3 linked regions of the Bombyx mori genome follow. The protein of the gene in region 1 interacts with the protein of each later gene in a pairwise test. Links are inferred from orthologs where the notes say so. Each region holds a gene or a part of one and is shown on either strand. Other genes may lie near its edges. The genes, in order: amyloid-beta-like protein, fasciclin-2 and JNK-interacting protein 1.

Region 1 (4,174 bases):
ATTAACAATGATAATTATACCGCAGTTATGACGTCATTTTCGTGTGAAACTAAAAATATGGTTTATAGCATATTTTCTTTTAGAACCACCACCATAGTAGACAGTTAGGTATTATTCTAACAATATTATAAATCTGTATAAAAAAATGATACTAATAGTCTCTCGTTGTGCGCGCATCACGCAAAAACTGCTAAATAGAATTCGGACATTTTTCTACATATTTTACTTCTTAGACTCTGTTTCTTTTTCTGAAAAAAGAAAGAAAAAAGTGTATTGTGCACACCCGGTTGGAATAGAGTTTCTTTTGATATGTCTTTTGTTGTCTTTGTATAAAATAATGATTAAATGAAAAATAAAAAGTCCGTATAAAATTACTAAACAAATCATAAAATGTTAAGAAATGCATGTAAAATTGGTAATGCCGAGTTAATTTCTAGAATATTAGTGAGGAAAAAACACGTCACTATTTTATTATTAATTAAAAATTCAAAGAGATGTCCGTTCTCGGTGTATTTTTACGTTGTTATGCTTTTTTCGGTCTATCCCTAGGCCCGTGTACAAAACGTGAGATAGATAAATAATTACATTCTAAAAAGTTTCATAAATATTACAAATGCGTTTTTATAGTGGTACCTAATCGATAAATAACGTTAATAATTTTCATATGGTTAATGTCAATAACAGCGCTTTAATATAGAAATGCAATTCTAAATCGCTTGCGTAACTAGTTAAAATACCAAAGTACGTCGATTACGTTTTCCTGCACGCCCAAATTACTCTGCATCACTTAATCGATTTTCAAGAACTTTCTGTATCGATATAGAAATAGTTTAAGCCCTCGAAAACCACTCCTTTCATCCCACTACTGCGTACGGATCTTCTCCCACGCGTTATAAGGTGTAGTCCACGCGAGCTAAGCTAAACGAAAATCGAATGCCTTATTTTTAATGATTAATTCCTAAAAAGTGGAAGAGTAGTGTTGTGGCTAGAAAATCTTTTTATTTATATATAAAAAATATCACAGCAGTCTTTTCAGTGATTTAGAGTTTTCTTTTACTCATGTTGAAATAGAATTTTGGTATAATATACGTTGTAGGTGTTAGATTACAATCGTTCTAAGCTTATACTTATAACACGGCTCATGTTTCGTAAGTCCCTGGCGTGTCACCCTAAATATTACCACAGTTAAAAATAAGTAATGCGGTCTAGATATGATAATTATACATGTACCATATTTATGGTAATTTAATTTTAAAGGGGGACCTTTTTTTGGATTTCGAATCATAACTACGAACCGACTTAATCTCATATTATGTTCAGTTATAGATTTAAGCTCTGTAATATTAATTTATATAAATGTTATAATATATTAAATATATTTCTTTAAATCACATGATTTAACATAAACCTGTATTTAATTATTTTGGTAATTGATTAAATCGAATCTCGGAAGTTGATAAATTAGAGTTTTTTTTTCTTTAAATTTAATTTGAAGTTTATTATATTTTTTGTGTCTTTTTAGTTGTTCTCTATTTATATAAATCACTACTTATATAAAAAATAATTTTAAATTAATTTATTTAAAGCTTTCAGTGTTTTCTTCAATTCCACGTATTTGTTTTATAATTATTACATGAAAATTATATTTGTATTTATTAAATATATATTTTATTACATTTAATTTTTTTAATACAAATATTTTTTTGCTGAAACATTTCGGATTTCGAAATCCATTTAAAAAAAATCCTTAGGATTTTAATATTGCTCAATTCCAACAAAAATGGTTAAAGTAAAACCAATATACCTACTCTTATAATTCATTTATTCAAATATTCAAGTTTTTTTTATTGCTGGGATGGTTAGACGAGCTCACAGCCCACCTGGTATTAAGTGGTTACTGGTGCCCACAGACATCTACAACGTAAATGCGCCACCCACCTTGAGATATAATTTCTAAGGTCTCAAGTATACTTACAAGTTTCAAGGCAACGTGATGAGTTTTATCGAGAAAAAGATTTTTTAGAACGATAATTAGCTTTATAAACTTGTCAGTTAATAATTAAAACAACTTCAACTTCGAAATCATTTTATGCTAAATTTAAAATGCGGAATTATGAATTTATCGAACGAACAATTATTTGCAACGCGCTTACGTATTAGATTAAGGCTTTAACACGTTAAGATCCACGTTTATTTAAAAACCCCTAACATTTCGTGATTTAGAAATTACATAACGCGTAAAGATGATCATTATCATGTCATCTTTGATGTTAAGATTCCAAAGAACGATATATCCGTTCTCTTTGCCATATAAATCCCGATCTATACTGCTACTCTTGAAGACCTATCTAAAAGTATACGCAATAAAAAGAAAACTTCACATATACTCGAATATGTCCTAAAAATAAGGGAAAGAATCTTCTTGTTACTGTTGAAAAAGTTGCCGACGGCAAAGCCAATTTTCCGGGCCGTCGGCGAAACCGCCGGCGTGTGTTACGCAACCTACGAATACCTAAAAAAAACTCAAACCTAAGCGTTAACGAAAACAACTTTTATGGCATCCGCTGCCGTGTAAACTGCTTCCTTTCAGCTTGCGACGATCTTGAAAACATTAGTGAACGCGTGCCATCGATTTTCGGCTTCATATGCCTCGAAACGATGCCAAACCAGCCGGATAACCTACGAAATAATAAAAACCTGCAAAATTCTTAAGCATAACTCACCTGCCCGGCGTGGAGGACGTCCAACAGTACGGTAAAAACACTTATAAAAAGCACGGCGCGCGTCATTTTTGCGGCCGCGTTGCGTTCCTGTAATCGCCTGGCTACCACTGACGTTCGCTTCGGACGCCAGAAACCTGCGTACTGCTGGCTTGGTATGGCACCGTAGTCGTACCTAGCGTCGTATAGATCGACCCTCCCGGGACAGAGATGGAGAATACTGCCCCTCCCGTGCGACAGAGAGAGCTAGCTACACGTAGAGGGATAACGCACGCGCACTAGCAAAAACGCAGCGCACAATGAGGACTCTATCGAAGGGTATAACGAATAGTCTTCGTCTAGCTTTGTCTGGATTTTCCAATGATGCGTCATTTTAAACAGACGATTTTTTTTTCAAATTTAACTACCAAACAACAGTTTCCTTTGGCCACAGTCTCTTAACATTACTCTGTTGTTCATAAAATTCATGTGAAAATTAAGCATAAATTTTCTGTTCAAACAACTTTTATACGATGAGTCATCGAAGCGTAAAGTACGTACATACATGTAGGCATTTTGGATGTATTAATAAATTTTCGTAACATGCGTATGAAGTCTTATTAAGTACATGGTAGGCGACAACTTTGTCTTGGGAAAATTTATTACCGACGGCCGATGTTAAGTCCCGTATGAGTATCTCGTTTCTCATGTCGAAGGTCATTTTCGAACATTATAGACGGTTCTAGTACTTTAATAGGATTATCAAACGATAATCTATCAATAAATTCTAGTTATATTACTAGACTATTAAACATACAGCTTAAAGCATTTTTGCACGGTTTTTACGATTTTCACTATTCCACATGACACTATTTGGGGTATTTTTACTTTTATAAAATATAATTTTTGTTATGTTTTCCGCTCACTTCGTCGGTATTAAATGGTCATCGGGGTCATCATTGCGCCATGATGTCGAAATCTCAACTCTATTATAGAATGGGCTAATTAACTCTTTGAGCTAATTATCTCTCTAAAATATTTGGAAGTTGGTTATAGGTATAGTATCCTAGTATATGATTTACATGGACACAGTGCGAATATGTAATGTAAGCTTAACTAACCAAGTTAAATTTCTACGTACAAATTTCAAAGTTTTCTGTTGGTTTAAAATGAATTCCGAATAAACATACTTAATGTATGTATCACGGTCAGTGTAAAAATCTCCGAACTTAATTTTAAATTTTTCTTAACTTTGTTAACGACTAGCTGTACCCGTCTGCTTCGCTGGTCATTTAAAATTAACATTATTATTTCTCCCCCCACAAAGATTCTCATCATTAACGCCCCCGCAACTAGTGTAGGAAGTCCAACACTCATATAAATATTAGCCTATCCATTAAGTACATGTATTTTCTACATGGATACCAAGTTTCAAACCAATCGGATGCATGGTTCACTAGTTATAACGGAACATC
Region 2 (3,660 bases), about 1.6 Mb from region 1:
CTGCTCTTTGTATCGTTAGTTTTATGCATCATGTAGAAGCTGAGGATGTTAGATTAATGAGTATGGAGTTGTAATAAACGTAACGCTATGCATAGTATTTTATTTCAATATATAACTATACAGCAAGCCTTTTTACATTCATTACGATCAATGTGAAAAATGGGGAGTGCTTCCAAATAATAAATTACGTGCACCCAATCACCAATAGCTACCGAAAGTGATTTCCAGAACGAGTATTGAAATGTGAATTCACAAACAGTAAGCACTTCGCTATCATGAAATGGGGTTTGAATGTGAAAATAATGATGATGAATGATGTTAAACAAATGACGCATAAAATTTTTAACCTAAATACTAATTATGAGAAAATAATAATAAGAAAAGTAAAGTTGTCAAGATGCAAACATTCCATAATATTTAATTTTTGCGAAATAAATGTTCAAACCCCATGACAATAGATCTTTTTTCTCTAAAGCATTAGCAAGATCTATTTAACTTGGGAATAAATTAACGTAAACATTATATAAGGTCACTATTGCTCGGGGTCATGACAGCCATCACCTAAACTTTTTTTAAAACGTTGTAAGCGAAAATATAACAATAATCGGTATATTTTCACTAAATTCACAAGAAAAACACCCTGTAATTAAAATTCAAATAAAAAAATCTAATATCTTTACTATTTCATGCATCAGAAAATAAAATACTGATAATTTTCATCCGAAATATCTTGTTTAATACAAAAATGAATTTGAATGGTAAAATAAAGATGCCTCAGAAAACTGACCGCCGATATCACATTTTGTTAATCACCGATGCATGGAACAAGCTAGTGGAAGAATGTGAAACAAACTCATCGAAGGGTGTATTAAATAGGTCATGCACAAATAGGTAATTAGTACATTCCAAAGAAAACTATGCAGCATCACTATGAACTAAATTAAGGGTTTCATATTTAATGTAAAAGATAATATTTACCCAATTCTCATGAGGGCGACACAACACACACTCGACAAACAGTCAACAGTTAGGGATTGGCTAATGGATTGGTTCCTTGATAAGCATCTTGACAGCTTTCTTTTGGTTAATATATTAATTTATTTATTAGTCTATTAATTATAATTATATATCTACTAAATAAAGGTCTGTGTATAAATCTGTGTATAAATTTTTCCTTTATGCGTTTTTATATAATTAATCGGATCATAAAAACTTGGGTGTACTGTTGTATATGGTACACATATTCTATTTTAAATAAGCGGCACGCGAGTAATTTCAAACCACTGATACTATTCATACAATTAGCGGCACTAAGAACGAAGTGTGACTAGAGAGACTATATAATAATTTTTGTTACACTCAATAGTTTTTCTTTTCTTCAGATTTTATAAATATTTTAATCGGATTAATTTATTTTTTAAATTTTCATGTATTTCAATACGGTACCGAGGAATTGCTGCAAATTGTATCACTTTGAATCAATAAAACAAACTAACACATTTATTTTAGCGACAGAATAAATTAAGGATGTTGTTTTTCAAACATTTATTATGTTTCACATTGGTCTTTTTACTCAAACATCACAATCACTCACACTCCTAGTAGTAGTTATTGTATAATATCTAACCGCTTTTGTTTTTTCATTTAACCACTCAACATCTCAATGTTTACTAGTCTCTCAGATGATATCACCACTGGAACGTCTTACATTATTTTTAAAATACTTATATTATACCAAAAGGACAAAATACTCATCAAAAAATTCGTACACAAAAGTTTACTCTTAAATCTTAATCTATGTCTATATTGTGTAAGCCTTTTTAATTTTTGGCATTACATTATTTATTATTGCAAGGAAAATATTTTGAATTAAATGGCAGTGATAATTTTTATAGCCATATTACATATTAAAACTACTTGCGTTTTTCATTCTATGAACTTTCAATTAAAAAAATTGGCACAACAAATTTAAAATTTCAAAGATCTATTATAAATTATTATATTTTTAATCATTGAATCAACACCGTTACGTATTTACAGACAAACAAATTATATTATCACAATAATTATTTCCTAAACAACAATAAGTCAACTTTGGACTTTGTTAGATATAATTTAGTGTTTTTTTATTTATTCAAACTAAGAATAATACAAGAACTGTAGCTATAATGTCCAGTTTAGTGTTTGCCCATCTCAAATAGCTGGGACATCCATTTGGGTTACCTAGAAAATATTTACTATTATTGTTAAATAAGCATTTTTATTTCAATTAAATAAAAATGAAATGAAATTTACAAAAAAAAAATAAAAAATAAAAAAATGATGTTGTGAATAATAATAATCATAACTTACCATACACAATAATTTAACACTAACATAACAGGGCATTAATGAAGAAAATTTAAATAAACTAAATTTAGTAAATTAGCAATGAACTTAAAAACTAAAACATAGATCTCACAACTTAACTATGAATCAAAAACGAAAGTAAAATATTTTGTTATCGTTTATTTGTACCTTAATCTGTTTTTTTTTTGATGTAGTTAATTGGCAAGATCTCATTCTTAAATAAATCGAAAAAGAAATACAACGAAACTTAATTTAATTAAACAAATCAAAATAATCGAAAAAATAAACAATGGTTAATGATCAAACTGGTTAACAGCTCGCGTCTCATAGAATTGTACTTATCGAAGCGGCATAACCAATTTTAAAACTAATAAAAGTTTAGAATGCGAAAATAGTTGTTCACACAGTTATTTATAATTACATGATCGAAAACCAACTGTCAGGAAGCGCACCGAAGCACTAACACAATTCGGAATCAGTAGCAGTTCACAAAAACAAACACAATACAAAGGACGCGACGAGGGAACGAACATAATAGTTAGCGGTCGTAGCTGAGGAGGGCTTTAAAGGTTCAGACGCAGTGTAGACATCGTAGAATCCCGCCCGTAACGGCACTTCATTACTCTCTTTATTGTACTCACCAAGAGCAGTTTGGACGTACAGTTGGGCGGGCAGTGAGAAACCGAGCTGGTTATGAGCCCGCAGATGAATGCGGTAACGAGTGTCCGGATGTAGCCCTCTGACTTCGTATGTAATGGCTTCGAATGACTTAAGTTCTTGGGTAACGCACTCGTTTTCCGACGACACACGCCATTCGCCGCTTATCTTCAAAACCTGCGTCGAAAGGGTTAGCTTATTAAAGATCTATCAAATCGTTTACGTACTCCAATTAATTGGAAGATTCACTTACCGGACAATAGCGGATTTCGTACATGTCAATAGGCTCCCCATTATGAGCGGGTATTTTCCACTTCAGTTCATATCTGTCTGCGTATTTTCCGTGAATAAGCGATTCCGAGCTAAGGTTCTCTCTCCATTTCGGCTGTTCTGGTGGTGACCTGAATCATAGTAAAGGTTATCAAAAAAAAAAGGCAATGAATGCAAAAGTCTATGATCAAAAATTCTACGCTTTACAGAACCAAAATAAAAAAAAGTTTGTGTATTTTTCTTACCTTCTTGGCATGATAACCGTAATAGGAGATCCCCAACTACCAATGCCAACTTGATTAACTGCAGCGAATCTAAAGTCATAGGTAAACATTGGTCTCAAGTTTTCCACAGTGTATGGGGAATTAACCGACCACGTGCGGT
Region 3 (3,660 bases), on another chromosome or scaffold:
TCTCGAACATTTTGAAATATCTTTCTTCCTCTTCTTTCTTTCTTGTACTGATTCCGACCGAGAGCTGAGGTCGGCTCTCGTAATGCTATGTACTACTTACTTGCGGCTACTAACTATTAAGCTGTCGACAGGGACGTCTTAAACTAGGCTGGGGCCCTTGGGCACACAAGAATTTGAGGCCCTTTTGGAAAGTAAAAAAAGCGAATTATAATAACATTTTTTACTGAGTATGACCATTTATTATAGGTAATCAAATACAGTATGATATAAAAATATTAATTATATTAGAATGCTGCTGGTTTTTTGGTTACGATTACGATAATGGTTTCTTTCGGGATTTCTGTTGAGAAAAATATTTCATTATATCTTTAAAGTAAACTTTTTGAAGGATATCACTTTCCATGCCCATAATTGACAAATTACTCAGCCGTTCTTGTAACATTGTTGTTCGCAATTCATTTTTTATTCTCTTAAGCTGCGAAAATAACCGCTCTCGACTACAGTTGGTAACCAAATTGTCGGTCCTTCGGGGCCCCACTGAGAATGGGGGCCCTGGGCACGGGCCCCGTGTGCCCTTATGGTAAAGACGGTATTGGCTGTCGAGAGATTAACGGACAACAACATCTGGAACCCTACGAGAGATTTACCATATACAAAACTACGTTAAGAAAACTAACCCAAGATAAATTGCTCACCCTAATAAATATCGTTCCCTTTTTACTTTGGCATTTGCTGGGTCGAAGTCGTTGTAATCCATATCGACTGCGTAGGCGGAGGGAAAGATTCCTTGCTGTCCTGTTCGTAAATTTACACCTAAAACGAAAAACAGGATTCTTATTTATGAAAATTATTATACATAATATAAATAGGTGAGTTACATTAGTAATATCACTTTAGTTGCATAATCTCGAATGAATGTGTTATAAGATCGCCCTACCTTCGCACCATAGATCTTCTGCTTCTTTTTGAACATAAATAGGGTCCCCTATTTCCACCTCGATTTCATCGTGATGCCTAGGGTTAAATTTATGTAGGCCTCTGTGGGTTGCTTCAAGCATTTCTAGTTGACTATGAGGTACTGTGGTCATATTTCCTGCAAAATTCATTCCACTGATACTGCAACTGGACGAGGGCGACACTAAAAGAATGAAAAAAACATATAAATATTTTTAATTAAAGTACTTGACTGATTCACGTTTTGTTAAGTAACTGAACGAACCGTTTTGCTGTAAGGGTATTGGCGACAAACTCTTTGGACCCGTGTCGATAGGGGAATGTGCGGTGCTGTGTCCACTGTCGACATCTCCCAAGCTTTGCAGTCTCTCCGAATCTGGGCTGGAGTCTTCGTCGAGGAGATAGCCACATTTTAGCACGAGCAGTGGTCTGCTGTGACATCCTGGTCTTACGAGCATCCCGGTTAGAGCCCCAAGTTCATCAGCTAGAGATGCTGGTTGGCCACATGCTAGAATAGATGCTGTAAAAGTTAAAACGCCAGATGAGGAACTAAATCGTCACTTTAGATTTGTTACTTTAAAAAAAATATGCTTTTAATCCGATAATCAAGAAATCATGCAATTATATATTTGTCGATGTTGCATGTAAGCATTAAGGGCCACCAGGGCATTTTTAGGGTTCAGGTTTCATAAGGAAAAAATGGAACCTTCAAAGGATCACTTTGTCGTCAGACTGTCTATCAGTGTTTTTGTGTGTTCAGGTCGTTATTCTTATGAACACATATGCAGTTAGATTTAGTTCCAAATACAAAGGCTTTACGACCGAAGGAAGCCATACTCAATCTCAAGCTTTTCAGTTAACGCAATTTATAGAGCACTTTCTGTTACTCTAGTATAATGAAATATGGCAAGAGGTTATGCTCTTATAGCACAAGTAAAGATAAAAGTCTGAAAATATTATATAATTCGTATCTTCGAAGTCAAAATTATAAAAAAATATAAAAAGTTGTTGTTGAACCTCAGCCTCAGCCTTGGTCTGAGTACTCGGGTATTACTGTCCTTATTGTCTTTATTTTGTTTTTAATTTTTTATTATTATTAACAGTATTATTAAATCTCTATTGATATATTAATGTAATGCATGCTGTGATTGCCTCTAATTAGAGTTGCAGTTATCAATCGGTCTATACATGTCAATGTTATTTTATGTCTTACTGTAAACCCTGTCGGTAAGCCTTAAATAAATAAATAAATGAAATAAAAGTATTGTTTTGATAAACAAACTGCGTTATTGTTAGTTAGTGCAGCATTAGCTATTAAGTGGAAAATGAACGGGAGACACATTTTTTGACACCAAAGACAACTTGTCTTTAATAGGCATAAACGGGAAACCCAAATAACTTAATATTTGATCGCGGTAATTTCTGGTGTATTTCAAATTGAAATGTTCTGGCTCTGTTGAAATGTGAGGTCGAAATGTTGTCTAGAATAGCGCTCCATCTCTTCCCGTAGTGGACGTTAAAGGGATTCACAGTTTTTTTTTAATGTTGATATCCTTAAAACTGGGCAGCAGTGTTGTCTATGTATTAAGCTGCTTTCAGACTACGCTATACTATAGTGCCATATTATAGTATAGCAGCCTATACTTAGCCAATAATATATAGCACAGTATTGTGTGAACGTGTCCATATTATCATCAATGTACGGTATGCGATATTGTTGTTTATTTCGCTTTTTGTCGCTGCCTACCGCTTAATACTCTCCAAAAGCCTCTTTTAAAGAAGGACATGTGGTAGCGCTCGGGAAAAGCGTGGAGGGGAGCTCAATCCATAACCGGATGGCACGAGGCAAATGTGCTATGTGTTATAATAGTATATGCTATTATATTATAGCGTAGTCTGAAAGCGACTTTATAATAGCACATCGAGCTCGCCAACCGACGTTTTCGCCCGGTCTGAGGGTTCACCTCCGTCAGAGCGCACGGCGACCCTAGCTAACGTTTACTGGTAGTAAGGCGTGTTGGAAGCCTTACCACTTTTCTGCCTATTTTTGCCGCGAGTTGTCATGTTTTCCGGATTGGAGTACGGGACAAGCATAATACAATTGAGATTTCGACCTCGTATCTCAAGATGACGTAGCGGGAAGTAGACCAGGCACGGCATTCACTTTGTAATAAGAACTAATTTATACCAAATAAGGTCTGATCAAACTCAGTCATTTCGGCAATTAAAAAAAAACATATAATAAATAATCGTGTTATAAGATGTTTTTTTTTCTGTGTTAGATTAGCTCTGCGTATGTTTGATTGTCTGTGAGTGTTGTGTGTGCCGGCGTTTGTTTGCCTGGGTGTGTGTATGTATGTTTATCTCGGTAAAAAGAAATGATTATACTGATTATATTATCTATAAAACGATATATAATATTAATTAAAACTGATTTCATAAATAGATAGACTTGTTCGATGGGGTGGTAATTGTACATTTTTAATTTCTGCCACCAGTCGCTCAACCGCTTTGATTCATGACGTCAATGGACAGTGACAATGAATGTAGATTCAGGTAAACCGCATACAAAGTGTGTTTGCTCTGAATAAAAAAAATCCTTTTCGGCGGGAAAGTAGAGAGTGATGCAATATCTATCGTTTTCTTTTAGCAAGCTTTATCTTTTGTAACCGGACCAATTGTGTTTTAACTGTGTAGTTTTATTTT

The links.
Region 2: the proteins of amyloid-beta-like protein (region 1) and fasciclin-2 interact in binary tests that used the Drosophila melanogaster proteins (3 or more experiments, as listed by UniProt). The link is inferred for Bombyx mori from reciprocal best matches to the Drosophila melanogaster genes Appl and Fas2.
Region 3: the proteins of amyloid-beta-like protein (region 1) and JNK-interacting protein 1 interact in binary tests that used the Drosophila melanogaster proteins (3 or more experiments, as listed by UniProt). The link is inferred for Bombyx mori from reciprocal best matches to the Drosophila melanogaster genes Appl and Aplip1.

The regions. Positions count from the first base shown.
Region 1 is NC_085124.1:11,682,837-11,687,010, forward strand, and holds the start of amyloid-beta-like protein, read right to left. Parts: upstream 2,885-4,174; 5' UTR 2,790-2,884; coding exon 2,724-2,789; intron 1-2,723. UniProt on the Drosophila melanogaster protein: During development, plays a role in the regulation of the neddylation pathway. Appl and APP-BP1 interact antagonistically during development.
Region 2 is NC_085124.1:10,075,574-10,079,233, forward strand, and holds part of fasciclin-2, read right to left. Parts: coding exon 3,522-3,660; intron 3,408-3,521; coding exon 3,260-3,407; intron 3,184-3,259; coding exon 2,991-3,183; intron 2,224-2,990; coding exon of another isoform or gene 2,135-2,223; exon of another isoform or gene 1,531-2,134; intron 1-1,530.
Region 3 is NC_085107.1:7,551,811-7,555,470, forward strand, and holds part of JNK-interacting protein 1, read right to left. Parts: intron 1,475-3,660; coding exon 1,220-1,474; intron 1,139-1,219; coding exon 938-1,138; intron 814-937; coding exon 696-813; intron 1-695. UniProt on the Drosophila melanogaster protein: The JNK-interacting protein (JIP) group of scaffold proteins selectively mediates JNK signaling by aggregating specific components of the MAPK cascade to form a functional JNK signaling module.